7 linked regions of the Rattus norvegicus genome follow. The protein of the gene in region 7 interacts with the protein of the main gene of each other region in a pairwise test. Links are inferred from orthologs where the notes say so. Each region holds a gene or a part of one and is shown on either strand. Other genes may lie near its edges. The genes, in order: Cdx4, Pias2, Pygm, Bend5, Banp, Dao and Prkab2.

Region 1 (4,489 bases), on a different chromosome or scaffold from region 7:
GCAACAAAAGCAAATCGGATGGGAAGGGGGCTGTAAAGAAGAGGCTGAGAAGAAGAGGATGCAAAAGGGTGCAAAGAATGGGGTACAGAGAGGGGGTGCAGGGAAAGGCAGTACAGAGAGGGGTGCAGAGAAGGAATACAGAAATGGTGGTACATAGATAAGCAAGAGAAGGCGTGTAAGGAAGGGTCTGCAGAGAAAGAATACAGAGAACGCAGCTTAGAGCAGGGGCCCCAGGCCAAGAAAGGTGGAAAGGAAAGAAGGCTGCTGGTGTTAAGAAGTCTTTGCAGGAAAAACTGCAACTACCAATAACCTAGTAATTGAAAACAATAAACAACCAGGAAAAAAAGTCTACCAGAGGGAATGGCATATCTGAGCAGACTGCACAAAGTGTTAAAATCTGTAGTATGTCAGAAAGGTCAAATAATTGGTGACAACTTGTTTGAATAAAGACCTGATCAAGAATGTTATCAATAATGTATTCAATGAATGAGTGAATGTGTTCAGCAGTCAAGCTGGTTCCATGCTTCATCTTGTGAAGCCTGCTTTGTAATGTAGATTCAGCTGGAGCCTCTATCTTTAAACGGGTGTCCCGGATATAGGTGGTAGAGTGCTTACCTAGACCATACTTTTGGAATGGAATGGCAAGTCTGCCGTAGCTGCATGGATTTCAAACTACAAGAGTTCCTCCTGTCCTTCAGGGCATTGACTTTGAAGCAGAGAGATGTAAATTAATACATTAATATGAAGTTCAGAGAATGCACTATCCACTTGCTTCCTCTCCCCTTTTCATGGCCTATGTGCTTCTTATTCTCTAATGTATGCATAGTTGTTAGGCATCCAATTAACTCAGCCTCCCATCTAACTGGAATATAACTTTAAGAAACTAGGAATACATGTCAGTGCTGTTTCCCCGGTGCCTACAATTCCTGACACACTGTGGACACTGAATATACATTTGTGAAACAAATCTGCCTATAGAAACAAAGCCCTCTCCTTGAGGAGTGTGTGGGAGAAGGGAAAATCCTTTACAGTGGCATGATGGGCCAGTGCCAACTGGAAAATCCATACCAGGAGAGTATGAGCAGAGAGAGAGAGAGAAACCAGGACAGCAAGCTGGGCTCTGGAAAATCGTGAAAGGAAGACCTCAGTGAAAGGAAGCAAGACTGCGCATCTCAGTCTCATTTTGAAGAAGCCGATGAGAAATTTCTTGAGGAACAACCGCCTCCAAAAGCGCAAAAGTGCTGCTAAGAAAGCAGAAGAATCCCGGAAGCGGCACAGAGGGGCTGGGAGCTAGGGGAGAAGGTGCTTGGAGTGAACAAGTTCCCATAGACGTTAAATGGCCCTTCATTTGAATGCAAATGCTATGTAAAAGCTTGAAGCCCCTTGACGTCATCCCAGGCTTTCGTAGCCCTCCTATGGCCCACTACCAGTCACCTGGAAATTTAGGGTAGGATAGGAAGGTTGGAGTAGTCCGAGCCGCCCAGAGGAGCTGGCAGCACAGCGAGTGCTGACCCATTCATTGATAGCCTCTTGCATCTCAAACTCGGGTTGGCGCTAAGTTTACAGGGTCCTCAGGATGGCTTAGGGGGCAACTTCTTCTATCCAAGCCACCATGTATGGAAGCTGCCTTTTAGAAAAAGAAGCGGGAATGTACCCAGGCACTCTCAGGAACCCTGGAGGAGGCAGCACAGCCGGAGTGGGCACCTCTGGGGGCAGTGGTAGTCCTCTGCCTGCCTCCAACTTTACTGCAGCCCCAGTTTACCCACACTACATGGGGTATCCACATATGTCCAACATGGATCCTCACGGGCCTTCGCTGGGAGCCTGGAGCTCACCCTACAGTCCGCCCCGGGAAGACTGGAGTACATACCCTGGGCCGTCCAGCACAATGGGCACAGTGCCCATGAACGACATGACCTCGAGCTCCCCAGCTTTCGGCTCCCCAGACTACAGCACTCTGGGCCCCACTGGCGGTGCAGGCGGTGCAAGCAACGGCGGTAGCCTGCCAGACGCGGCCAGCGAGTCACTGGTTTCCATCGACTCAGGCACCTCTGGCGGCGCCACTTCTCCCAGCAGGAGCCGCCACAGCCCCTACGCGTGGATGCGCAAGACTGTGCAGGTGACCGGTGAGTAATCCATCGTTCCACTGTCTCTTCTCTTCTCTACTCTTGGTCCGCCTGCCCTCTTACTCTTCACTCTGCGTCCCGCAGAAGAGTTCAGCTAGGCAGCCCACGGGGCAACTGGCTGGCGGGATAAGTAATTTCCTCCTTTGTGCCTAGGTTCAAAGCTGGTTAAAAGCAGCGCTTGGAACTAAACCTTTCCTGGGGGTTTGTTGAGGTGGGCTTTTTTATTTGGTTATTTGGTTGTTTGGTTGATTAGGTTTGGTTCGGTTCGGTTTGGTTTGGTTTTTACCCTTCCCAGATAAGTCAAGGGAGTGAGGGCATGAACAGTGTTCCCGATGAACCACAAGGATCGGGATCCAATCCTGTCGTTGTCCGGAGGGAAAAACAGAAACACGTGTGATGAACGGGGTGAGAAGACAGTTAAGGTTGTCCCGGTGCTTGCCGGTTTTATGTCCAAATCGTCCCCTATCCTATTATGCAGCCTCGCTGAAAACTGGTGATGCTCAACTTAATAGGTGCTTAGCTGGCAAACGACGCCCCAGCCTATGAAGGCTTCCACGGCAAAACGGCCTCTTTACAAGACGCCCAAGGAAACTACAGCTTCCGTCGACCAAATTAGCACTGTCTTGAATAAAGCCTAACGCCTTTTTCCAATGTCCTACCCACTGAAGGAAGCGTTACAGCACTGAGCTGTCATTTCATAGGACACTATCCTTACACCCACCGTATTATTCACACCCCCCTCCAAGTGCCTAAAGCCCTCATCGCTAATTCAGCAGGTGGCCACAGATGCAGAAGCAGAATGCAAGTCTGCGACAGCGACAACACACAAGAAGCCATAAGGATCCCGTTTAAGGTCTAATGGCACTGACCAGCAAGCCCTGGTGGGCAGGCAACCGCTGGGGGGGTGTGCGGAGAGCTTCGAGGAAATGAGGACTCCACTATAATCTTGGACTAGGAGACGGTGACATGTTCGTTTTCAGCTGTGGTTGTTCTCCTAGCATTTTCTTATTCCAATACTTGATCCCTGTCATTAGAGAAAATTAGTGACATTTCCCTCTGGAGAGGCAATGATATTTCAATAGTATTTGTCCATGATGATATATACTCTTCACAACCCTTTGTTGTCCCTTCTCGCTCCTCCAAGAAGCAAAGGTGAAAGGGTTAGGGGGTACCATTTCCTACTGTTAGGAAACTTTTCAGCCACAAGGAGGATGTTCCAGGTCTAACTAGGGTACAGATCCCAAGTTAAAAGTAATCCTTAAGAACTTATATTAAAAAGAGGATATGGGTGAGTCATGTAACTTTAAAGACAAATGAGGCGAGGGTAGGGCATTCCTCCCCAGAGCTGTTCTTACATCTAATCTTCAGGGTAAAACTAACATCCATTCACCAAAACCTAAGAATAAGCAAAATACACATTTTTAAAAGGACATCAAAGAGCTACTGTCTAGGATTTTTCTTTGAAATACTGTGGGGAGGGGATGTCGCTAGCTTGGTTTTCAAAATGGAAAACTGTGAGGGAAAGAACACAGTAAGAAAATACGGTTGTGATGAATTGTCTTTGTGTTGCTGAGGGAAACATGACAGCTTTCTCTGTTTTGCTTTAAGAGGAAAGAGAGAGAGAGGGGGGGGGAGATCTCAGAGCCTCTTTGGGTAATTCTGATGCCAAGAGAAGTTGAGAAGGATCCCCATAGTCTGTGTGCCTTCATCTCTTCAGTGCTTAGGAGAAGTTTAAAACTGAGAATGATGTTACAGCTCCTTGGACTCTTGGCAACTTGTCCTATAGACAAAGTTTTACTAACATTGACATTTGTTTCATTTGAATTCCTCGTAAGTTAACACCACCCTTTTGCATGTTCTTGTAGGCTCAAGTTGCTATTTGTTGACAATTTGAGATGATGGTTGTGCATGAGAGCACCCCGCGCTACACACATAAGTGATGCTTTGCATAAGTTCTGGAGATTCTAGTCTCACTGAGTATCTTTCATAATACAGGGCCATAAACTTCACAAAAATAAATGCCATCACCCCGGGACACTCCGAATCAAAGTGTACCCCTTTATATGCTTAGCAAGGGAGCAGGTGTTAAACGTCTGTTAAGTGAATAGACAAGTTAGATCTTCCTAAGCTTTCTGTTCACCTTGTACCATCATTGCACATCAACCTATGGTTTAGGGCTGAGAGAGAAAAAAATCTATGGACAACAGACTGGACGTAGCTCTTCCCTGAATTAAGGCAATCCCATGAGAGCTTTTTTTTTTCCATTAATGAAGATAATTGAAACAGACTTAAGTTAAAATGTGTGTGTATGTGTGATATGTGTGAGTGTGTGTGTATGTGTGTGTTGCACTCCTTACAGCTAT
Region 2 (3,937 bases), on a different chromosome or scaffold from region 7:
ACTAGTAGAACAGGAATAAAACTTTTCTTCTGATAATTTTGTTTCCAACAGTTGCTGCCAGATTGGGCTAAAATACCGATACACCGAGCTTTAGTAGACCTGCTGTTTAGCTATTTTATTTTATTTATTTATTATATATAAGTACACTGTGTGGCCTTTATTTAGTTATCTTTACGCAGCTTTTTTCCCCCCCAAAACATCATTAATTTTGTGCGTGTGCTTGGAGCTTGCCTCTTAGGCTAGTCTGTCTGGTCCGTGAGCCTAGGGATGTGCCTGCCCCCTGAGTCCCAGCACTGTTCACACGTGTACCACCACCACAACAGGGTTGGTTGGTTTCAACCTCTCCACCACATGTTGTTTGCTTACCCTCAAGTATCTTTTTTTTTTTTTTTTTCCGTAGCTGGGGACCGAACCCAGGGCCTTGCGCTAAATCCCCAACCCACCCCTCAAGTATCTTAATATTATTATTAGTAGTTATACTTTTTCTTATTTTACTTTCTGTAGACATTTTGTTGAGTGAGTTAGTGTAAGTTATTCAACTTATTTTAATGGCTTGTTTCCACACACTTACAGTGTAAAGGAGCAAACTCATTTATCCTGATGTAAAATTCCTGAATTGAATATTACTATGTCAGTATGGTTTAAATCTTAGAATATAGGATCCTTCAATGAAGGAAAAATACAGAAATGCTTAAAGATACACATTGCATTTTCTGTTGACTTGGAGTTAAATTTTGTAAATGGCCACTAACTTTTTTTCTTCTTCTTTTTTTCGGAGCTGGGGACCGAACCCAGGGCCTTGCGCTTGCTAGGCAAGCGCTCTACCGCTGAGCTAAATCCCCAACCCTGATCACTAACTTTTAAGAACCCTTTCTGCATCCCTTGTTTTATCTTTGCCCCCTTTTTAGTCCATGAACACTGAGGACAGGCTATAAGCTGGTATTGAGCTAGCTAGCATTGGTGGTGATGGTGGTGGGTCCCAGGATTAGACACTGATACTGCCATTGTGGATATAAATAGCAATATTTCCTATAAGTGACATACACAGGGAGGTTTTAAGAACTATGAAAAGAGGGCTGGAGAAATGGCTCAGTGGTTAAGAGCACTGACTGCTTTTCCAGAGGTCCTGAGTTCAAATCCCAGCAACCACATGGTGGCTCACAACCATCTCTAATGAAATCTGATGCCCTCTTCTGGTGTGTCTGAAGACAGCTACTTATATATAATATATATATTTATATATAATAAATAAATCTTAAAAAAAAAGAATTATGAAAAGAAATGACCTGGTCTAATGTGGGTATGGGTGTCAGTAGGTCTCTTCTTTAATAATTATGCATAACAATATATATATAACTATATAAAAACATACTAGAATTTGACAGATTTGATTATATAATAAAACGTTTTCATGAATATTTTGTTTATATCCCATACAAGGCTCTTTTTTTAATATAAAGAACTCTTATAAATAAGTTTAGTGACTGAAAAATGATTAAGGGTATGTGTAGAGAGTTCGTAGAGACACAAATTAACTATAAAGTAGAAGAACAGAGCTTCAAGTTTCTCTGAAAATGAAAGAAATGTATTTAAGAACTGCCTTGAAATATTTCTCACCAACCAGATTGGAAAAAAGCAAACATTCATTAACCGCAGGGATAATGGTGGAGTTGGAATATAGCACATTAGCACATTAAGTACACAAATTACAGATCAATAGACTTCTCTGGTTAAGGGAGTTTATCAGTGTTCAAAGACCATAAATATTTCCCTTCGACTTCTCCAAAATTTCATTTTGAGGTACTTATTTAGTAACATTGTAATGGTGCAAGATTGGAAGTAATGTAATTACCTGTTATCAGTGCACGAATGATAAACCATGATGTCTTTGTATCATAGTAGTTTTTAAAACATTTACTTTTTAAATGTGCGTGTGTGTGTGTGCGTGTGTGTGTGTGTGTGTGTGTGTGTATCTGCCTTTGTACTTAGACATTACTGAAGTGAAACGATGTTTCAAAACTTGAAACCACCCATAAATAAAAAGATAAACAGTCTTCATGAGAGTAAATTTAGGCTGAAGCTTTTTATTTTGAACATCTTGTTTGACTTGTTAAGACTCTAATGAGCATCTCTTTTCTCCTGTAGGCTATCTTGTCCTATTTGAACTCATTTCCTGTTGTATTCTCTGTTCTGCAGTTAGGAAAAATGAGGCTGACAATCCCGTGCCGCGCAGTGACGTGTACACATCTGCAGTGCTTTGATGCTGCCCTGTATCTTCAGATGAATGAGAAGAAGCCCACCTGGATTTGTCCTGTTTGTGACAAAAAGGCTGCCTATGAGAGTCTGATACTAGATGGGTAAGTGTAACCCCGGGCAAGTAGTTAGACAAAGAAATAGAATAAGTGGAGGAAAACTAACAGACCACCTGCTGATATGAGGTGGGCCACAGTTTTTAAGTCATCACGCAGGAGACAGAGGCAGGTAGATCTGAGTTTAAGTCTAGTTTTATATATATATATAAGGCCCTGGGTTCGGTCCCCAGCTCCGAAAAAAAAAAAGCACCCAAAAAAAAAAAAAAAAGATTTAATCATTGAGGTTCCGATGTTCTTACGTCTAACACCGTTGCCTTTTCTTGGGTGTATACTGCTTTCTTGTTTCATCTTTGACATTTATGTACTTTACAGGCTTTTTATGGAAATTCTCAATGACTGTTCTGATGTGGATGAGATCAAATTCCAGGAAGATGGTTCCTGGTGCCCCATGAGACCTAAGAAAGAAGCTATGAAAGTAACCAGCCAGCCCTGTACAAAAGTAGAAAGTATGTACTGAATGTCAGGAGCACTCAGAGAAGTGCACATTATGAAGTACAAACTCTTAACTTAACCACAAGGAGCATATTCAGAATTTAGTTTGCTAACTTTAGGCCATCTCTCCTTCCTTGTTTTCTTAAGGAATGTGCAAATCTATACCATCCTTCAAACTTTTAAATGGTGTTTCATGTACAAAACGAGTAAGTAAGTAAATATAGATAGCATGAAGATAGCCTGGAGCTCAGATCCTGAGTTACCCGTAAAGGCTGGGGCCCTGGGTGGCCTTTGTGTCATCCTGGTGCTCTAGAGGCAGACAGGGATCCCAGGGGCACACTGTTCTCTACCGGTGGGTGCTGACCCCCTTGAGTGTGGAATGACCTTTTCACAGTGGTTGGCTAAGATCATTGGGAAACACAGATACATATAGTACAAATCATAGTACAATTTTAGTTAGGAAATAGCAACAAAAGTAATTTTATGTTTGCGGGTTACCATAACATGAAGAATTGAATTAAAAGTGTCCCAGCAGTAAGAAGGTTGAGAACCACTAAACTAGACTTAAGTAATGAAGTCGGTTCAGCGAGACCTTTAAGTGGTGAGCAGTTGAGAAAGATGCTTGCTACTAACCTGTCCTTCACAAGCATGCCCACATCTGTGCAGACATATATGCATGTATGTGTACTATGTAAACACACTTGAGAAACGGAAAGAGTAGTAATTGTTTTGTATATCTTTATACAGCCCAGTTTGGTTGGAGAGACTGTATATCATTTATTAATACGTGTGGAGACTGGTCATGAATTAGCTGTTACTGAGTGGATTCTTCCATTCGTTGGTGGAGGGATTCTGTAGCTTTAGTTTCCCAGTGTGTGTATTTGCTTTTGGCTCCTCGCTCTTATCTACTCTTAGGGACATGCTAAAGGAGTCTGATAAGTTGAAATCCATGTGCACATGCAACCTCTGGACTCCTTTCATTTGACTTTCTTCCGGCTCTGTTGAATTTCAAAAAAGCAATAACAGATTTTCTGAGTAAGAAGGGTAAATAAAGACTTTCCAGAATGTTATTTATTCTTTTGTGATCGTCACAGAACTCTTAGGGGTCACATTGCCAGGGTTGCCCACATTGG
Region 3 (3,096 bases), on a different chromosome or scaffold from region 7:
TGTGTGTGTGTGTGTGTGTGTGTGTGTGTGTGTGTTAACTATTTATTTTATGTATATGAGTACACTGTAGCTGTCTTGTGGTTGCTGGGAATTGAACTCAGGAACTCTGGAAGAGCAGTCAGTGCTCTTGACCTCTGAGCCATCTCTCCAGCCCAAAGGTATGGTTTTTAAGAAGAGGTGAGGGTGAGTTTGGGATATATACTAGAAGGTAAATAGTTGTGGACCAAAAAGTTCTTGGGCCAGGCATATGGCTCAGGAGATAAGAGTGCTTGTGGTACAAGTCTGATGACCTGAACTCACGCAGAAGCATAGCACAAGTGTGTGAAATCCCAACAAGCTGGGAAAGGGAGGCACAGATGTGAGGCGGAGACTCAGAGGCTGGCAGGCTGGCTGACCTGTCTTACACAGTATCAGAGACCCTGTCTCAGAAACAAGAAAGAAAGGTAGGGAAGAGCCTCTGAAACTTGTCCTTCCTGGCGAGGCATGCTCACGCCCCCACACAGAGACAAAAATGTGAGAGTTCCTAAGTCTCTGGCACAGAGTTTCAAATGCTTCTGGAAGGTTGGTACCAGTTTACACTTCCACCAACAGCTTCAGAGAGCTGGCTGGCATTTACCGCTGAAAGAGCTTTTTCCTAGAAATTTCAGACTTTGAATGGGGCATGGTGGTGCCCACCTTTAACTCTGGAGGCAGAGGCAGGCGAAACTCTGTGAGTCTGAAGCCATCCTGATCTACATGGAGAGTTCTAGGCCAGACAGGGCAATGTGGTAAGACCTTGCCTCAGAAAAAAAAGAAGGAAAGGAAAACAGACAAATAAAAGAAACCTCAGATTTTGTTTTCCTGGGCCCTAAGGTGCATTGAATGAGATCTGGGATGTTCAAGACCAGAGTCCAATCTGGTCAATCTGACTGCAGAGGACAGGGTAGTGTGTGAGTGTGGAGACTGCACAGGCAAGGAAAGTCACAAAGCAGGGCAGTGCAGGGGTTGGATGGATGCTACCTTGAAAGTAAAGCGGGCACCAGCCTGTAATGAGCTCGTTCTCATTGTGGGAGTTTAGAGGCCACACCCGAGGATTCGCCTGTGAGGTGGGTTTGGGACAGTGGAAAAAGCTGCATGGAGGGTTTTGTTTTGTTTTGTGGTGGAGCTGGGGATGGAAGCCAGGGCCCTTCGCATACCAGGCAGGCACTCCGCCTGACTTCTAAGCACTTGGAAGATGGGTCCTTTCTTCGGAGTCTTGAGAACCAAGATTTTGTGTTTCCTTTGTTTTGAAATTAGGGGTGTATGTTTGTGTGTATGTATGTGCACTGAGCCATCTCCCCAGCCCTGGATTCGTCTTTTGTCTTCTCTGAGCCTGAGTGTTTCTAACTACGAAGTGGGTGGAGAGAAGCTAACGTGGAGAGAAGCTAACGTGGATTGGAGCTGGGGAGGCCCTGTGCCTCAGGTCTTCCCAGCTTTTCTCCGGGAGGCTGGGGACCCCTTTGCAGGGAGCTGACCACAGACATGCTCTGGCAGGTACAATGCCCAGGAATACTACGACCGGATTCCTGAGCTTCGGCAGATCATCGAACAGTTAAGCAGTGGCTTCTTCTCCCCTAAACAGCCTGACCTGTTCAAGGACATCGTCAACATGCTCATGCACCATGACCGGTGAGCTGGCTGACTAGGCTGCATGGAGGCTCGTGGATGAGCAGGGCTTGGGTGGATGGGGAAGCTGGCTGGGGTTGTGGCTTCATTCACTCCTGCTGCGCCAAGGACTTGGCCTTTGACCTCACAGAGCTCTGGTCTCTCCTTTCTCCTCCAGGTTTAAAGTCTTTGCAGATTATGAGGAATACATTAAATGCCAGGACAAAGTCAGTGAGTTGTACAAGGTGAGGGGTCATCGGCCGGGAGCTGGCAGGGTTTGCCCCTGGCTGGGAATGAGGGAGAGGGGGCCAGCCTGCTGGTAGAACGAACCTAGAGATTCCCTTGCTGTCTACAGAACCCAAGAGAGTGGACACGGATGGTGATCAGGAACATAGCCACCTCTGGCAAGTTTTCCAGTGACCGTACCATTGCCCAGTATGCCCGGGAGATCTGGGGTGTTGAACCTTCTCGTCAGCGCCTGCCAGCCCCAGATGAGAAGATCTGAGCTTCCACACCAGACCCCATACCTGCCTTTGAGTCTGTTTGCAATTCCCGGAATCAGGCCCACTCCAGGGGTTGGGCCCCTGGAATTACATCTCTACCCTCCCCCTTTTGGAAGCCTCTTTTACCAGTCTCTAGGTCCTGATGCCAGTGTGACTAAAGACCCTGCCCTCTTCTTTTCCCTCAACTCCCTACCCCCTTTATTTATGTATGGGGTCTAACCAAGTGCACCCACTCCCCAATAAATCGACTCTCCATGACCTTCCTTACTCTTCTCTCTGTTGCAAAATATTTTTAGCTCTTGGAGAGCTTTACAGCTGCTGCGCAATCATCTCCTTACCGCCCCCCCCCCTCCACACACCGCAGCAGGTGCATCCTCTGTGGGGAGAAAGGGGAGGCCCATAGCTGGTGTCTGGGACTTAGTCCCTTTTCCGGTGTCGCCCTCCACGCCTCTCTTCCCAGCGCTCTGTCCATACTAGGTCAGCGGCCAGCTTAGTTGGTCGGGGGCGGGGCGTCCGTCTGGGTGGAGCCCACCGGGTCCGGGAGTCGGTCGGTACTTGGGCCAGATCCTTCCTGACTACGGAGCTTCCACGCTATCTGGGGAGGGTCCAGAGGAGGCTTGGCGCCTTCTTGGCTCCTCCCCTAGCACCGCCCCACTGCGGCGTTTTAGGGTCTCTTAGCAGGTGGCTAAAATAAATTCAAAACCAGGCGAGTGTTAGGGCTTAGGGCGTTCGCAGACCGTTCAGGCGAGAACAGTGGTATATTCCCGGTTCCGGAGAAACTGAGGTCTATAAGGTTCCTCTTCTGAGCCTCACATAACCAGGATTGAAGTGCAGAGGACTGCTTCCCTCGCCCAAGACAAGGAGGGGCAATCTTCGGAAGGGGTTTTGGGGCCCTGGGTTTCACAGTGAGTCTAAACGGCCGGAAACTCTTACCTATCCCTAGGCTAGCTTGTGAGGGACCCCAACTGCT
Region 4 (3,937 bases), on a different chromosome or scaffold from region 7:
ACCTATTTTCTTGGGAAAGAATGCTACTTTTGTAGCAGAACTCAGAAGCTGCCTGGCAGCCTTCAAAGCAAGAGAGAAACAGATTTCTCTTGGAAACTACTTAAGAAAAATTCTACAATCACCCTACAATGTGGTCCTGACTAAAAGGAATTCAAGAGACCCAAAACGCCTCTGCGGTTCTAGCTTCAATCTGGGAGGTTTACCAAACTTAGACACTTCTACTCCAAAACGGCCTGTGGAAAGCATCCATCCAGTCAGCTCCTTATAGATAAGGACTCAGAGAACCAGGAAGGCCAAGAATCGGCCTGACCTCACACAGGAAGTACAGAAGTAGAGCTGTGCTAGAGAATTCCACAGGCTTCCAACCTCCACTCCTCTGCAAAGCTTACGGGGAAAGCCTGATGCATGAGCAAAGACAAGGCCTATACCCTGCCTCATCAAGTCCTGGCCCTGCAGAGAAGGAGGCACTCAGTGAGCAATGCAGAGTACAGTAGCACATCCAAGACAGCCCTAGAGATAAACACGTTTCTTTTCCTCACCTAGACAATACTTTCTTAGGTTCAGGCCAGAGAATTGTGGGGATGTATCTAAACAAAGGAAGTCGGAGAATCTGTCCTTTTCATTAGGGAGACCACCCAAAGCACGGGGTACTCAGGTACCAAGGAGAGGCGAGTCTGAAATGTGTGTGGTGGTGGCAGAGAGTCTAACACTAAAGCTGGATGCTTCCTGGACACAGGGCTCTGACAGACTTCTCCTTACCACCAGGGCTTATGTGTTCATTCATGATCTGTTTTCAGGAGTCATTAGAGAAACTGTGAGGAGTGATGTGTATCCCTGGAGTTGTAGGCCAGTGAGTTGGAGACAAGGAGTATGGCTCATTTACCCCTCTGTCCCCAGGACAGAGCTGAGAGCTGGGAACGTCTACTTTGTAAATGGTGAATGGGCATACACTGAGTTGCTATCTCTAAATGAGTAATTCACTGAGTTAGCCTTGTGCACTCTAGGCATCTGATTTCATAGGAAGTGAGGGAGAATATCAAACTATCAAAGGAATTATTTTTTTAAAAAAGTCTTTCTTATAAATACGTTATTTTAAAATGCCAGGTTAGTTTCAGTTATTTTGACTCAACATTTTTTTAAAAAGGGGAACAAGGAGAAGTCCCAGGAAACCTATGTTACTATGCAGTAAATTCCACAGTCACCAGGGACTAGGCTGGGAGGATGGCTAGCCATGTGGGGTTTCACAAAGCCCCCACTGTGCCCTCCACCTTTTCCCTGACTAGCAAGCACCTGGAGGAATGGATATTGAGCTGAAAACACTACCTTGCCATTGTCTAGGATATACTTGTCCATGACAGGCGCAGGAGCGGGGTAATAGGACGACGTGTTTGCTTCCTCACTGAAAGTGCTCCGTAACTCCGGCTCGGGCTCGAGACATTCTGACTTTACTTTTTCCAAGTCAATGGCGGGACCTAGGCAGTTAAGAAAAGAGATCTGTCTAGAACTCCAAGGAAAATAAAAGGCAAATATTCTTAACTATGCATCTATCAGCATATAGTGGCACTAGAGAAAAAGCTAGCTTACTTTTGTTCTTTATGCTACACTTAAACCCAGACTCCAATGCACTGTGAGGCAAGAATTTTACTAGGCCTTAGTAATTAAGGATGATTAAGGGACACCTTCTAGGGTGTCAGTGTCTATGCAAAATGGCAGGAGACTCAGCTTCCTGCATAGGAACTAGGGTCAGTTCAGACTGCTGGAGAAAGGATAGCAGTTAACTAGAATATGCAAATTGTGGGCTTGCCAACAAACTCATCTCTGGACCCTGTGGAGAGAGGGTCATGTGGACTGAGGGAAATGAGGAAAGCTATTGAGGGCGGGGGCAGGGGCGGGGGTGGCTAGGATCCCCCTTCCTGGGACCTGGGGTCTAAGCAAGGGCATTCCAACCAAGAAATTAAAATACAACACAGGGCAAGCTGCTGATTGCCAGATACAGCGATCACTCACTTTTTATTTTAATGCAATCAACACAAATTACGTGAGATTTAAATAGTGAAAGGAGGCTGGGGAAACGGTTGCTGTTTTGTTTCTAGGGTGCCTTTTTCTCTACTAGCTTTTAAAATGACAGATTTTCTTTTTCTTTTTTAATCATCTATTGTGTCTTGATTACCAAGGAACAGAGAAAATGAGTAAATAAGGCCAAATGACTCGATTAACTTGTCTTCGAGAGAACAACTTCAAAAGTCTATAGTTTCACATCCTGGCCTTGACTAAAATCAAAGGCGCTGTGTGCTGTGCGTTTAGCTTAAGCATGGATGAAATTGGGGTGAGACTTCTTATCCTGGCTGAATGGACAACTGGGATCCACGCTCTTTATCTACTGAATCCTTGCGACTCTGTGCTCAGCTGCCGTAACCTAGATTTTGGCTGATGGCGGGAATGCCATCAAATGTGAGTTTGTTGGTACAAGTCCTTATGACGGGGCTTTCCAGAATGAGAGTATCATCTCTGAGCTGCTGGTAGCTAGCAGTTGCTGACTGCAAGAGAGACCCTCTGTATTCTCCAAAGATTTAAGCATGAGCTTGGCACAAAGCTGACCACAGAATGGATGGTAGTCAGAAAGGCAGGTGAAATTACATACATTGTACATCATTATACAGACTGGGCCCCATGCCTGGCTCCGCTCTGTTATTGTTGTGTGACTTCGAGTGTGTGAGCTGCAGATGGAGAAGATGGTTGAGTGGAGCACAGACAGCAGCATCCTTATCTTTCTGACAGCATCTCCTATGTGTGCCCTATGCAAGGTCCAGGCCAAGCTCTTTATCTTTCTCCTTGTGCATAAAACCTGGTAGGTGTTCTCTAAACCTTTGCTGAAGAAGAAAGGATCATGACAAAGACTGCAGCCAGAGTCTCCAGAACAAGCAGATGCTGAAGTGTCCCGTCTGCAGGTGTGAATTCTCAACACGTGAATAAGTAAATCATCTGGTCTTTCCTCAGGTGGGGAAAATGTACTCTGCCTTCCCGTAAAGATGGGTTCAGGCACGTGCTTTCTCGTCCTACTCTGATGTTCAGTGACAGAAAAGAGAAATGGCTGAGAAGGTCATTTATCCACCGCTCATAGATCATCTTTACAAAATTTTTGAAACCTCATTTTCCTTCTAAGAGAAAAGACTGTTAAACAAAGGCTTATGGCCCTAATCTCAGCACTCATGCTTGGGAGGGTCAGGTATTCAAAGTTAGCCTCTGGATAGCAAGTTGTAGATCAGCCTGAACCACATAAGACCTTGTCTCAAACAAGAACTACAATGGCTCGATGGCCTCCAAAGTAACTTCCACATGACCATGACCTTGTTCCTCCTTGCTTACCATCCCCACCACAGTCCATGAAGGCCCAGAACAACCAGCCTCTCTCTATATCTAGAATTCAGATTGTTTCCTTGTCTGTCCTGTTGTCCTAGGTCTCTGTCTTTCTGTCTGTCTCTCTGGTTCCCAGCCAGGTAGCTTCCTTCTGATGCCTTGTTTCTAGGTAGTAGTCTCTGTATTATAACCTGCAAGCTGTGTGGCACCCAGCCACCCCTACCTGTTTTCAATATTACACTGATGCTCTTCAGGGGCAGTCTCACTCATGCTGTACCCGGACAGCCTGGGGTACCTGGCACATGGCAAGCTCTTAATAAATTCTCTATGACATCAAAGGGCTCAGATGGCTGGAAGGGGATAAGTCTCTGATAAGTGTGGGCAAAGATTCTGAAGTCCCTGATGCTAAGTAGGGTGTTCAGGGAAGAAGTGTGGGTAGAAAGGAATGTCTGTAACCCCTTGTACAGTCCAAGAAGTAGAAATCAGGACTAGATTAACTTTAGAAGCAGCTAGTTAGAATGGAAAGTTCGGGTGGTGGTGGTGGTGGTATGATTATAAATAAATGACTCGGTATCCACAT
Region 5 (3,937 bases), on a different chromosome or scaffold from region 7:
AATGCTGCCCCCAGGGTGTTTCTGAGCCTGGCGGTTCTTGGGCCATGGTCTGTTCTCTCCTAGAATTTCTCCTCAAACCCAGGCCCCAAGACCTTTTGTTTCGGTTCTGTGCTCCTCAGAGGGCTGCGGGTGGTGTGTGAGCATGTTTCCCGCTGCTGCCCGTGGGTTGGTTGGCTGCCCAACTCTAGAGGTCAGATGTGGAGTGACGTGAGGAAGGCAGCTGCGAGACCAACCTGCCGGATCAGAGTTTTGGAGGGATGCGTTGGAAAGAGGCTGGGGAGCTGGTTCAGTGGGTAAGCTCATGCTTCTGCAAGCTTGAAGATGTGAGTTTAAGTCCTTAACATGCATGGAAAAATCCAGGCCATATCTTGTAGGCTCAGCACTGGGGACTTGGGACAGGGAGATCCCAGGCTGACTTAGCAGCCTAGCTGAGTGGACTAGGTTTCTATTCAGTGGTAGACCCTGTTTGAAAAGAGTAAGGCAGAGAGCAGTGGAAGAAAACTCCCAGTACCTGCTCTGCACTCCGCACACAGCTCACATGTATGCGGTGCACATAGGTGCCCTGCGCACACACATCACACATACACACACACACACGGGGAAATGAAGAGGAACCTGTTTTCATGAAACCTGTTGCTGAGATGGCTCGCGGATGCACAGCCCACCCTGCCCACATTTGTGTCAACCAAGAATACCAACCAGCAGGAAGCTGGAGAGCCTTGTCTCCAGTTTAGTTGTTCTGCACTGGACCCCATTCTCTGGTGTTGGCCCAGGAGCTGACCGTGTTGAATGATTCATGTGCTCTGACAATGACTGTTGTTGTTTTAAGGTCTTCTTTTTCTTGTGATTCTTTTGTTTCATAGCGTCGTCCCCCAGACTACAGTAATACTCAACAATGATCGGCAGAACGCCATTGTAGCCAAGATGGAAGACCCATTGAGCAACAGGGCACCGGATTCCCTGGAAAATATCATTAGCAAGTCAGTAGCCATCACCACCCACCTTCCCTGCCACTGTCCTGAGGCTAAGTGAGCGTTCCTGAGCCAGGGTCAGTCTGAGCACATGTCCATGTCTGCAGTCATAGGGCCCATTCTGTTAGCAACCACCATAGCTTTTAGGTCAGGAAGGGCCAACTTGGTGCTTAGCAATGGTGGGGTGAGACAGTGCAAGGGTGGGCAGCCGTGAGGACCGCTGGGCTGGATCTGGTATGTGAAGAGGCTAGATATGGCCTGTGGTCCGCTGAGCACTCCCATCTGTCTGTCCTGCAGTTGAGCCTCTTCTGAGTCTGGTAAATGACACACTTGTGTTGACGTTGTGACTTTTTCCTCATCCCTGTCTTTTGAGATGTGTTGAATGGACCTTCCGTCAGTCAGAAATGAAAGGGCACAGCAGCCATGCCCTGCGGGGCCTCTGCCCCTGGCTCTGGCTCTGTGCCTCAGGAAAGCTTGGTCACCTTTTGATTACCAGCAGTGTTCTCACAGATTCCTGCCTTCCTTTTTTTCTCTGTGGGGTGTGACTCCTTCCAGCTTTGTCTGGCTTCTTGTCCTGGCCCAGGTCTCTAGGAAACTGGAGGCCTGGGGTTGCTGTGACTGTGCTGAGTGGGGTGCTGGAGGCCTGCCACTCTGTTGGGGAGAGGACGCGCCTCCTGGCCCACTCTGAGGTCGTGGGTGTGGAGTGTCGAGGAGCCAGTTCACTGTGGGTAGCTCAGAGGGGTCAAGTTCAGGAAGGACCTCCTGCCTCTGGGGATGACCAGAGTTTTAAGGCCCCTTTGACTTTGCTGATGGGAACTTGGGCTTTGTTTCCTCTGTGGTGTGTAGGAGGCCATGGTCCAAAACGTTGACAGAATCATTCAGAAAACAAATCAATCTTGGGTCTTTTTTGAGCACTTTCTGCTGCTAGCTGTTTGGCTGCTGCTTTACTTCAGGGCCCTGCACCAAGAATGGCTCCCAGAGGACTCCTGACATTCTTGATGGCCTTGGAAGTTGCTTCTAGGGTTTTGTCTGTGGGAGTCAGAGGGAGTGTGGAGGTGTTTTGGAGGCCGAGTCATCTTGGGTGTCTGACAGCATGGATGATGGATGGATGGGGACTCTGATACACGGTGACCATTGTGCATGTGAGGATGGCCTCTAAGGTCTGAAAGCCAGATTCTAGGCTGAGTCTCAGTGAGTTATGGTTTTATTTCTTTTGTGCTGTTCATTTTTACGCAGTTGCTTTATATTCTTCGTCTTCTTGGTCTCAGGCTGTTGGTGTGCTATGTTGCTGCTCATCTCCATGGAGGGTGTGTGTGGGGACATACCGCATGTTGGGGACCCACCTTGTGCATTGGTCCATGCTCAGCTAGACAATGGGATAAGTCTACATAACAGTGGGAGTCAGGGCTATCTCAGTGTACCACTCATGTCCTCTCACAGCCTGGGCTGCTGTGTTTGTTTCCCGCCAGCGCTGTTCCTGGGCGTCGGCAGAATACCATCGTGGTGAAGGTGCCTGGTCAGGACGACAGTCACAATGAAGATGGAGAGAGTGGATCAGAGGCCAGTGACTCCGTGTCTAACTGCGGCCAGCCAGGAAGTCAGAACATTGGAAGCAACGTCACACTTATCACCCTGAACTCTGAAGGTGCGTTCGCCATAGTTGCACCTTTGTGCTCTTCTTTTGGAAGGGGCTGTGCTTGCTGTTGATAAGAAATGACACAGTGACAAAAAAGTTTAAGCAGCTGAAGTCCTACCGTGACTGCCAGCACCTGTGCCTCTCTCCTGTGACCATGCCTTTTTCGTGTTACTGACATGTCTGCTGTGGAGATGCCTTCTTGGATGCTCTGCTTCCTGAGGAGGAAGAGCTTCCATAAGCACGAACCAGTCACCTCTGCTCACAGTCCCTGGCATTCCTCTGTTGGTTGCCAGGCTTAGGGAGTACAGTCTCCTTGGGCTGGGCTGAGATCTGCAAGTAGCCAGGGAGAGCAAGTGTGGGGTCTGCCTTCCCTAGACTCCTCCCATGATTTCTTGGGGGCCCCCATGGGGTAGGGGCAGGCTCTTCCCTGAAAAGTCTGAAGTACCTCCTTGCTTCTAACTGACAGTAATGTTGAGAGAAAGGAAGGAAGGAACTCTGACAGACTAAGCTCTGTGTGCAAATCCTACCCATCGACTTTGTTTACCTGTGAGCCTTGGGAGGCTTTTGTTTCCTTATCTAAATGATTGGTTTTTCCTATAAGCACAAAATTTTGCTCTTAGGTATGTGCTGTATCTGAAATACTAGAAATAATGTCTGACTAAATTGCAGTGTTGGGGTCGAAGCTCGCTACCACACACTTGATGGTACACGTCACAGCGCACATTCTAGCGCTTGCTAAGGCTTAGGTTGTTGTTCCCAAAGCTCGTGTGCTCAGAGCGTGACCACAGCCCTGCCTCTGGGGTGGCCTAGGAGAGGAGTGGGCCACAGAGGTGGGTCCTAAAGAGGAGTGGGTGGGATCTAGCCCCCGTGTGGCCCTTCCTTTTGTGTCTTAGCTCCCATGGAGTAGGGAGCAGCCTCCGCTGCCACAGTCTTCCTCCATGATGGTGGCCACAGGACCAGTGACCATGGACTGAATCCTCTGAAAGCTCTTCTCATTAGAAACTGTTTTGTCACAGTGAGAGGCAGGTTTAGTTTATCTACAAGTTTATCCCCTGTCACCTTTGTCTGAATCTAGAATTTTTTTTATTATTTTTTTTTAATCACCCCTTCTAAGAAACCTCAGCCCAGTTAGTCACTCCCCACCCTCTCAGCCAGCCCTGTAGTTGCTGATCCTCTTGTGAAGGAGAATCCTCGAGTACTTAATATGACTGACTGGGTCATGCCATCCAGAAGGCAGGCAGGCCATCATTGCTCCTGTCCTCCCCTCATAAGGACAGGTTCTGCATTCTCTTCACTCTGGCCCTTTCTTTGTACACATAGGAGCTGAATT
Region 6 (4,558 bases), on a different chromosome or scaffold from region 7:
TCCACCGGCCTGCATGGTGCCTTTCAGCACTGTGAGCACGACCCTCCAGGGAGCGAGTTTTAGGTAAATTTCAACCTCGCTGCTCTGTGTCCTGTCTCCAAAGTGTGTTGTGTCTTAGCCATCGGTCTTACCGTTTAGTTCTGGTGGGTAAGTCAAGAGCAATGGTAGGTAGACTCCTGGGCCAATAACTGGTAAAGGGGGTATCCCACAACGACTTGCACTGAAATTTTCATACAATAACCCATCTGTGTAGGGTTCATATCAAAAAACAATAAGTTTTTTTTTTTTTTGGTTCTTTTTTTCAGAGCTGGGGACCGAACCCAGGGCCTTGCGCTTCCTAGGTAAGTGCTCTACCACTGAGCTAAATCCCCAGCCCCCAACAATAAGTTTTTAAGAAAAACCTGTGTAATCTATAACATGGCGAGCAGAAGGACGCTGCAGGGAGGCTTTTATGTATTCAATTAATGGTAGAAACTCTAAAGGGGAAAAATGCAGATTAAAAATAATTTTGAGGGCTGGAGAGATGGCTCAGCAGTTAAGAGCACTGACTGCTCTTCCAGAGGTCCTGAGTTTAATTCCCAGCACCACATGGTGGCTCACAGACATCTGTGATGAGATCTGGCGCCCTCTTCTGGCCTGCAGGCATACATTCAGGGAGAAAGCTGTATGGTGTATTAATAATAATAATAATAATAATAATAATAATAATAATAATAATAATAGAAAAGGCTATGGCTGTCCCTCAGAGTCACAGTGCCTGCCTAGTGTGCTTGTGGCCCTGGGCTCTCTCCCCTGTTACACGTGCTTCCTTCATTGTGGTGGATGTTGCTGAGGTAGAAGACTACACCATCACAGTATTCTCCTCTGTTCAGCAGATGTGTTTTGGTCTCACCGTGTCCCAGTTAGAGGTCTAGCCTTGGCAGAAGAAGGACCTGGAGTCCTGCTGCTTTCGTCTCTGGGATACTGAAGCAAAGACTACACATCCTCCCAGCCCAGGCAGGCGTCCCTTCTCAGCCTCATCTGTCTAGCGTCCCAGAACAGCAGTGAGCTAGCTGGCTGGCCGGGAAGGGCCTGTCCTCTGCCTTTGGCCCACAGTGGCCCAGGGAATGGTCCTCCCCTCTGCTGGGGTGCAGCAATGGGGGGGGAGGCTCATCTCCAGCTGGCTTGGGCCTTAGAAACCCCTCCTTCCCCCACCCCCCAGGCCTCTTCGCAGGGGCTTGGGATCAGCCAGAAAAGTCAGGCAGCTCACTAGAGGGAGGAAACAGAAGGTCCCGTGGCCAGACTGAGTCCTGCTCCTGGAGAAGTGCAGTGCCCAGCCCCACCCCTTGCCCTGTGCCCCCTCCACTGCCGAAGACTTTGACCTGGCGTTCCAGTCCTAGCTGGTGGGCAGAGGGCTGAAGTCAACGCAGCCCAGAATCAGGAGCAATCCTGCTGGAGACAGGTTCCTGCACCCCCAGGCCATTTTTCTCTAGACACTTGGCACCAGCGGTAAGTAAAGGGGACAGAAACAACATAGTGTCTTCCCCAGTGTCCTCTCCATGCCAACAATCCGGGCTCAACATCAGCGACTGAGATTGGTGACCCCAAAAAAGGACAGACTTGGGGAAATGTCCCCCTGAGAGATGACACTGTACCCCTGTACCCCTAGGGGTACAGTGTAGTCAGAAGGGGATGGCAGGTTCAGAACCTTACCTCTCCAAGCCTCAGTTTTCCCCTCTGGAACACGGCATTTTTGAACAAAGTTTTTTTCATTATGCTATTGATCGGTTTGGTATGGGGTTGGGGATGGGGGCAGGAATTCACACTCACGCTCTTCAGGTAGAGGTCAAAGGGCAGCTTTTGGGACTGCATTCACCCTTCCCACCACGGGGGTCTCAGGAATTGAATTCAGCTGGTCAGGCTCGGTGGCAGGCACCTCTAGCAGCTGAGTCATCTTGAAGTCTCTGAATGTGGGGACCTTGACTCACGGGGTGAATTTGAGGCTCAGAAGACAGAGGGATAGAAAACGCCTGGCGCCCAGCTAATAAACACTCCCTAAATGGTCTTTATCGCTGTGCTGGGGAGGGGGGCTTGATTATCAGCACAACTGCTGCCCCAATTAAATGATAACCTGGGAATGCACGAGAAGGTTCAGCCACATGGTCCTGGCAGGACCGGCTTGTGCTCGTCTCCGTGCCTCCTCGTTACGGCTGTTTGGCTTCGCTAGTCCTTCGTGTTCTCCATTAAGTGTACGTGACAGTCAGAGGTATGAGCTGCCTCCTCCGGTTGCTTTCCAGAGAGACAAAGAGAGAAGCCAGTGCCATCTGACTGCTGCCCTGAGATACATTCGGGCTGAATCGGGTGAGACCTGGCGTCCCATAGGATGATATAGAGACCATCTCCTAGAGGACGTGTTGTGTTGTCTCCATTGCATTTTGTGTCCTAGTGATGGTAGAGTCCAATAGGCTTTATAATCTGTCTGTCTGTCTGTCTGTCTGTCTGTCTGTCTGTCTGTCTGTTTCCCTCTCTGATGAATGCCATACCTTCGCCAGCTCATCTTCCAGGACACACACTCCAAGCACGGTTGATTAAAATGAGTGGCCATGAAGCAGAATTGCACCTCTAACGTAAAACTGTCAGCAACCACGAGGAAATGGTTGACTTAATAACAGAGCTATGCACAGACTGGCTCAGACGTTCATTGGTGTATGTATGCATGATCTTACCTGAGGCTAGACTGAGGCTTCTGTGGTCTAGCTCCTGCTTCTGATGAGGACCACATACATGCCTTCGTACCGTACTTTAACAATAGCTACTCTTGTCAGGGTCAAATGCAGGGTTCAGAGTCTTTCCTCTACAATCCTGTTCCCACTGGCACTCCCACAAATGGTGGGTTTTAGACTTTGGAACTGCAGGGCTCCCAAACATAGGCCATTTGTCTTCCGCTGCCTCATCCTCGGTTTTTCAAATCATGTGACTCATGTGAACACAGGGCATCATAGTCCGGTTAGCCTGGGCTCTGCTCTTCTCAAACAGGTTGTCTTGGGTCTCAGCCTCAGTTACCTCCACTGAAAATGGGTACATCTCCTCTAGGGTTGTTACAAAGATCTCGATAGGTTATGTGTTGACAGTTCACACAGAGACACACAGACACACACACACACACACACACACACACACAAAGACCCATATACACAGAGGGACACACACAAACACACATACAGATATATAGATATACACGTAGGCATGCCCACAGAGACAGTCACACATACAGGCACACACACAGACACATGCACACATGCACACACGCGCACACACACATGCGAGCGCGCGCGCACACGCACACACACACACACACACGGGCTGGAACCCACACAGCTGCAGCCCTCCCCTCACAGAGACGATTCTTTCCCACCACCCCTGGGAAATGATCCTTTCCTCACGGTCGTGACTCAGGGATAGTCTCTCCCCTTTCCTTGGTTTTCTATCCACACAGGGATGTCTAGTTCCTCCTTAGAGTTCTGCATAGTGGGGAAAACTGGGACCTGTGAGGCACGCGCCTCTCACCATCCCTTGGAAGCCATTATCAGAGCCAGACTTCCGATCAGTCTGGGTTTGTCCTCCCAAGGCCATGCTTTGGTTCAAAGTTTCTTCTTTGCCTTTTTTTTTTCCCTCTTAAGGCAGGAAGTTACTATGTAACCTCTGGTCTTGAACATGCAATCCTCCTGACTCAGCCTTTCCAGTGCTAGGAACACAAGTGTGCACCACCAGACCTGCCTCATGGGTCCTCCCCCTCTCCCTCCACTTCAACCCTTATCTTTTTGAGACATGTAATTGCTATGAAGCCCAGTCTGACCTGGAACTTGTAGCTTCTTCTTGCCTCAGCGTCCTGACTTCTCAGATTACAGATGTCTTCCCCTATCTAGACCCCTGACACCCCATCAGCCCTCTCCCCTGCCCCTCACCTGTCCTTTCCTGGGTCTCTCAGTGGTGCAGGCATCAGTATAGGTTCTCTCTCCAGCCCCTATCTTGACCTCGAGTTGAAGCCGCTGTCTGGGTGACTCATCGCCTCACCTGTAAACTGCAGTTGTGTTTGAGTTCCCAAGCACCCAAGAGTTTCCTAAGATGTCCCCTCTTGGTGTGTGCATCCACTGTCTGTCCCAGGCTGGGGCGAGGAGAACAATGGGCAAGAGGCATTCTCTCACAGAGTGTGCTGAGGTAGGGAGACAAGGGGGTTAGCCAGCCTGCAAGTGTGCAGACAGAGGACAGGCTCCATTCACACAGAGCAGCTCCCCTGGCTTCCCTGAACTCTCTTGGCTCAAACACTGAAAATGTGCATCACAGGAGGGAGCACCCTAACCCTGGGCAGACTGGGAGCTGCTCTCTCTTACCCAGAGGAGTCCAATGACTCGGCCAGGCTCACACACTCAGTATGTCAGAGGTAGGCTAAGCTGTGCGTGTCTGACCTGCTGATCCAGCACACTGTGAGCTTCTAAGATTGTTTACTATGGACTGTGTGTATTCTGTACTGAGTACTAAGCATGTGTACTGAGTACTTGTGCTGGGTAATCCTGTGTGC
Region 7 (4,484 bases):
TTTCCTTTTTTTTTCTTTTTTCTTTTCTCTGGGAGGGGAGGTGGTGGATGAGACAGGGTCTCGCTATGTAGCCCTGGCTGTCCTGAAACTTGTTCTGTAGAGCAGGCTGGCCTTGAACTCACAGAGATCTGCCTGCCTCTGCAGGGGTTAAAGACATGCGTCACCATGCCCAGCTTAGTTCCCTTTTTTATTCCAGTGCTTTTAGCTAACTCCTGGTCCAAAGTGGCTGCTAGAGGTCTAGCCATTCTATGGGCGTCCTATACACAAAGAAAAGAAATGGAGAAATTCTACATAACATTCTACCTATCTACCGATTAGGGAGGCTAAGAAATGCATCTCGGTGGAGACAGACAATATCCTAAGGTTAGAGTCAATGCTTTAGTAAGCAGGAAGGGAGTCAATGTTAAGGTAGACCTCCAACTCTCTTTGCTATCTCACTGTTCCTTTTTATTATTTAGTTTTCAAAAATTTTAATCTGTATTTGAGTGTTTTGCCTGCATGTTTGTATGTGCACGGGAAGGTGTTGGATCCCCTGGAACAGATGGTTGTGAGCCACCTTGTGGGTGCTGGGAACCAGACCCGTGTCCTGTAAAAGCAACGTGTGCTCTTAACCACGGCGGCATCTCACTAGGCTCCCCTATAACCTTCTTAACTCTAATGGCTTTATGGTCTGCCTCATCTCATCAATCTACACCCTTGATCGGATCTAAGATACTGCCAATGCTAATGACTTCAGGAGCACTGAAACCTCAGTGGCAAACACGATACTCTCAGAGGATACCTCTCTCACTGTCTCAGCTCACCCAGCTTCTCCTGTATCCAGAGTCCTTTGACCCCACTGGGCCCTCCACCAGCCTATTTTGTCTTCACTTCTAGCCGACTGGTTTCAAATCAATACTCCCTCAATATTTTCCCAGACTACCCTGTGCTCTCAATTCCCCTTTTGACTCCTTGACTAAACTTCACTCTTTCGCTGTATGCAAGCATCCCCGCAGCTAATCACAGTAAGAGAACAAACACCACTTTGATGAGCTGGGTACCACATAGAAGTAAGCCTTATGCCAGTACCTGCCATCACGTGTCTCGTCAATTCTCTGTCCCATTCTTTATTTCATACCTCCTGGAACAACTAAAAAGAGGTTGCTTTGTAGAGGTCTACGCGGAGTATGAAAACCACTCGAATGTGGATCCGCTATGCACCGCTGTCAAGTTGTTTGATAAAGTACAGGTTCTAATTCTGCACCTAGGGCACGGAGAGGCCTCGGTTTCGGCTTTTCTAATAAGCGCGTGTGCCACGGATAGACAAAATGCTTAGGAAGGCAAGGCGCGCCCAGCTATCACAACCTAGGCGGGTCGTTCCCAGCCCCAACCCCGACCCCACCCTCCGCTCCGCCCCAAGCCGGAGCTGCGCACGCACCCACCACAGAGGTGGCCTAAGTGCTGGTGGCTAGAGAGGCAGGCGACCGAGGCTGAGGAGGGGGCGGGGCTGGAGCGCAGGGGGTGGAACAAGAGGCCTTGTGGGCGGGGCCAGAGGCAGAGGCGGTACCGCGTCGCCGGCCTTGTAGCCATTTTAGGAGGAAACCCGGTTCGCTGGCTTGGGGCGCGGCTTCAATTTCAATAACTTTATTGGTCTCCTTGTACGCCGAACAGCCGGCGTGCGTGTAGCCACGCGAGCCCGGAGCGCATCGCCAGAGGTGAGCGGCGTGGGGGTGTGCGGGACCCGGGCTGTGGGGCAGCGAGGGCTCCTGGAGCCGGTTCTCCGAGCTTAGGCGTCCGTGAAGCGGGTAAGGGAGGGGACCCCGGGCGCGGTCTCCTGCGGCGGGGATTCCCTTCCCGGGCGCAGGGGCGGGGCCGGGGCGCTCCTGACGCGGCCGCGGGGGTGTTCCCCGCCTGGTGTCATTCCCCGCGGCAGGTTGCCCCGGACTCGAGCTGCAGCCATGGGAAACACCACCAGTGAGCGGGTGTCCGGGGAGCGCCACGGTGCCAAGGCTGCTCGAGCTGAGGGTGGCGGCCATGGCCCCGGCAAGGAGCACAAGATCATGGTGGGAAGCACCGACGACCCCAGCGTCTTCAGCCTGCCGGACTCCAAGGTGAGGTAGCGGGGCTGCGGGCTGCTCCGCCCTTCTTGGTTCTTCCTCATTCTCAAGGGTTATGGGCTTTTAAATTAGAAGGCTAGTGCGCGGACAGAAATGTTGGGTGCTAATTCCTGGTAGGTACTACCTCAAATTAGGATAGAGGCGCGGAGTTGTTTTCCTGCTGCTTTGAGTAATCTGTGGGCCAGCCTTTTAGGACGGGTACCAAAGACCCATCCCCTGCCCGCCCCATCCTTGGTTGTACGTGCAGGTTGCCCTGTTCTAGAGCTTGCAGGAAGAATAGGTAGTGAGCGCGGGTGGAAACTTCGAAGGGTGCATTGTCTGAGCTCTTGATACGAGCTCAGTTTCTCAATTGCCCTCAAGATAGCTAGATGGTTTCTTCTCCCTGAAAATGTCTCAGTGTAGATCTCGTTCTTGCTCTCTCGTAAGTGCTCTGCATCCCTCCTCCATCCTCGTTCACCGTTGTGTGGCTGAGCAGCCATCACTTGATTATTTGAATACTTTCCCCTAGTCTTGGGAATCAGTACAGGACATCATTTGGTTAATGGCTCAGTTTTTTTAAAAAAGGAAAAAACAGTGCCGTTTTAAAATGTAGCTGAGCGTTTTGCACACCTTGCTGCACTTCCCTGGAGAGCAACTTACTTCCCTTCACTCCTCAGAAGTACTTCAAAATGTTCCCGAGGCTCAAAACCACCCTCTCATGCCCTGAAGACTTTTGCTCTCAATTCCACAGACTTTCAGCCAGAGGCCACTTTTGGTCACCCAAAAGAAGAGCCAGACGGAGCTGACAGCAGTGTGATTACTACTCTAATGTTCCTAATTACTTTTAGAAATGTCAGCGTTAAATACATTTAATTTCTCCTGGTCGGCTCTCTGAAGTGAAAAAGAAAAGCCTTCGGGTGGTTTTTGGGTGGGGTGGTGGGGTGTGTTTGACATTTCTCACCCCAGTGAACTGAGACTTAAGATAGTAAACAAGAGTTTTATTTACCGCTTTGATGGCACATGAATGTTGGATTATATACCATATTTTCTTCGATCCTGATTTAGAACGCCATTTCTTGGGGTTCCCTCTTCCCTGTTTCCTCTCCTCTAGGATTCCTCATTATCTGGGCCCTGCACTCAGCCTAGATTTTCTTCTCCGAAGCTTGTCCAGGGTGACAGACAGGCCGTGTATTTTTGCTCGTTCCTACATTGATGACTCAGGATTTGGGTACAGTCAAACTGTGACTGCAGTAATTGGTGTCCTGAATAAGAGCCAGGCTGCTCTGTGTGCGTTTAGGCCTGTTCTGGATCATTCTTTCCCTCACATCTTGCTGTGAGATGAGAAAAGTAGTTCAAACAATTACCCATGTCTTACCCAGACAGAAAACTTCATAGCCCATGTACTCTCCCTCTCCACACTAAATTTCCTTAAACATTTGCAGGCCGTAATTTGAATTGCTGGTTTGCTGCTGTTCTGATGGTTTCGCTGAGGGTTTAACTCCAGTAAACAGTTTTTCTGCTAGTCAGCTGCAGTCACTCCTACCACAGAAATGTCATGTCATAAGTGGAAGGGCTTTGCTCCAAAGCCAGGCATATTAATAGTTTGGAGTTTTCAAATCCTAAACTGAAAATCCTTAAGTCATAAAAGTAATTGATAAGAATAGTAGGGTTGGGGGCATCTTTGTTTCAAAGGTCAGGCTTATTAATAGTCTTACTCAGTGCTCCTCAGTCCTATTTGTATGACCGGATCCCCCAAGAATGCTTTAAAAACCTTATGGGAAATCTGACACACTTATAAAATGAACAGTGAAATGAACTACGTATATGTCACCCGTTTTAAATGGTGCTAAAAGGTCATTAAATGACTGTGCCTCTGTGATCCAAGCCATTCCCCTACCAACCACTCTGAAACAGATTTCAAACAGGTCAACAAGTAGTATTTCTAACATTTTAGGACGTACCTCAAAAGGTGACTGTTTAAAGCTGACATGATGGTGCCTCACAGCTGTGATCTCAGCTGTTTCAGAGCGGGAGGAGGATCACTGCCAGTCTGGACCACAGTGAGAACTTGACCCCCTAGAGAAAAATAAGAAATGCTTCTCCTTGTTTATTGTAACGTGATAAGAGTGCTGTTACCTGAAGGCTTTTTAAAAAAATATATTCACAAAATCCTTTGCGGGACTCAGACTTGAGGGTTGTTTTGAGGCTTATGGAAACATTCCCAATGCAACTGTCAGCCCCAGTGCATTGCTCTGAGATTACAGAGGCCAAAGTTTTGTCTCAATCCAGTCCCTTGAATAATGTAAAAGTCCCTTCCTTTTCCTTTTCCATTTGCTTTGGTTTGTAGTTGTACTGTAGTCTTAAGGACTATCGAGACACAGAATGGAAGGTAAACTTTTTGTATTTTGG

What was found.
Region 1: the proteins of Prkab2 (region 7) and Cdx4 interact in binary tests that used the Homo sapiens proteins (3 or more experiments, as listed by UniProt). The link is inferred for Rattus norvegicus from reciprocal best matches to the Homo sapiens genes PRKAB2 and CDX4.
Region 2: the proteins of Prkab2 (region 7) and Pias2 interact in binary tests that used the Homo sapiens proteins (3 or more experiments, as listed by UniProt). The link is inferred for Rattus norvegicus from reciprocal best matches to the Homo sapiens genes PRKAB2 and PIAS2.
Region 3: the proteins of Prkab2 (region 7) and Pygm interact in binary tests that used the Homo sapiens proteins (3 or more experiments, as listed by UniProt). The link is inferred for Rattus norvegicus from reciprocal best matches to the Homo sapiens genes PRKAB2 and PYGM.
Region 4: the proteins of Prkab2 (region 7) and Bend5 interact in binary tests that used the Homo sapiens proteins (3 or more experiments, as listed by UniProt). The link is inferred for Rattus norvegicus from reciprocal best matches to the Homo sapiens genes PRKAB2 and BEND5.
Region 5: the proteins of Prkab2 (region 7) and Banp interact in binary tests that used the Homo sapiens proteins (3 or more experiments, as listed by UniProt). The link is inferred for Rattus norvegicus from reciprocal best matches to the Homo sapiens genes PRKAB2 and BANP.
Region 6: the proteins of Prkab2 (region 7) and Dao interact in binary tests that used the Homo sapiens proteins (3 or more experiments, as listed by UniProt). The link is inferred for Rattus norvegicus from reciprocal best matches to the Homo sapiens genes PRKAB2 and DAO.

What each region holds. Positions count from the first base shown.
Region 1 is NC_086039.1:72,391,211-72,395,699, forward strand, and holds the start of Cdx4 (homeobox protein CDX-4), read left to right. Parts: upstream 1-1,442; 5' UTR 1,443-1,612; coding exon 1,613-2,126; intron 2,127-4,489.
Region 2 is NC_086036.1:72,956,849-72,960,785, forward strand, and holds part of Pias2 (E3 SUMO-protein ligase PIAS2), read left to right. Parts: intron 1-2,196; coding exon 2,197-2,357; intron 2,358-2,684; coding exon 2,685-2,818; intron 2,819-3,937. UniProt on the Homo sapiens protein: Functions as an E3-type small ubiquitin-like modifier (SUMO) ligase, stabilizing the interaction between UBE2I and the substrate, and as a SUMO-tethering factor.
Region 3 is NC_086019.1:213,132,230-213,135,325, forward strand, and holds the end of Pygm (glycogen phosphorylase, muscle form), read left to right. Parts: intron 1-1,512; coding exon 1,513-1,647; intron 1,648-1,801; coding exon 1,802-1,868; intron 1,869-1,978; coding exon 1,979-2,128; 3' UTR 2,129-2,393; downstream 2,394-3,096. UniProt on the Homo sapiens protein: Allosteric enzyme that catalyzes the rate-limiting step in glycogen catabolism, the phosphorolytic cleavage of glycogen to produce glucose-1-phosphate, and plays a central role in maintaining cellular and organismal glucose homeostasis.
Region 4 is NC_086023.1:131,549,954-131,553,890, reverse strand, and holds part of Bend5 (BEN domain-containing protein 5), read right to left. Parts: intron 1,473-3,937; coding exon 1,324-1,472; intron 1-1,323. UniProt on the Homo sapiens protein: Acts as a transcriptional repressor.
Region 5 is NC_086037.1:66,950,907-66,954,843, forward strand, and holds part of Banp (protein BANP), read left to right. Parts: intron 1-863; coding exon 864-980; intron 981-2,440; coding exon 2,441-2,616; intron 2,617-3,937. UniProt on the Homo sapiens protein: Controls V(D)J recombination during T-cell development by repressing T-cell receptor (TCR) beta enhancer function. Binds to scaffold/matrix attachment region beta (S/MARbeta), an ATC-rich DNA sequence located upstream of the TCR beta enhancer.
Region 6 is NC_086030.1:48,270,144-48,274,701, reverse strand, and holds the start of Dao (D-amino-acid oxidase), read left to right. Parts: upstream 1-1,401; 5' UTR 1,402-1,488; intron 1,489-2,276; exon of another isoform or gene 2,277-2,340; intron 2,341-4,558. UniProt on the Homo sapiens protein: Catalyzes the oxidative deamination of D-amino acids with broad substrate specificity. Required to catabolize D-amino acids synthesized endogenously, of gastrointestinal bacterial origin or obtained from the diet, and to use these as nutrients.
Region 7 is NC_086020.1:187,944,471-187,948,954, forward strand, and holds the start of Prkab2 (5'-AMP-activated protein kinase subunit beta-2), read left to right. Parts: upstream 1-1,538; 5' UTR 1,539-1,694; exon of another isoform or gene 1,695-1,784; intron 1,785-1,912; 5' UTR 1,913-1,937; coding exon 1,938-2,090; intron 2,091-4,484. UniProt on the Homo sapiens protein: Non-catalytic subunit of AMP-activated protein kinase (AMPK), an energy sensor protein kinase that plays a key role in regulating cellular energy metabolism.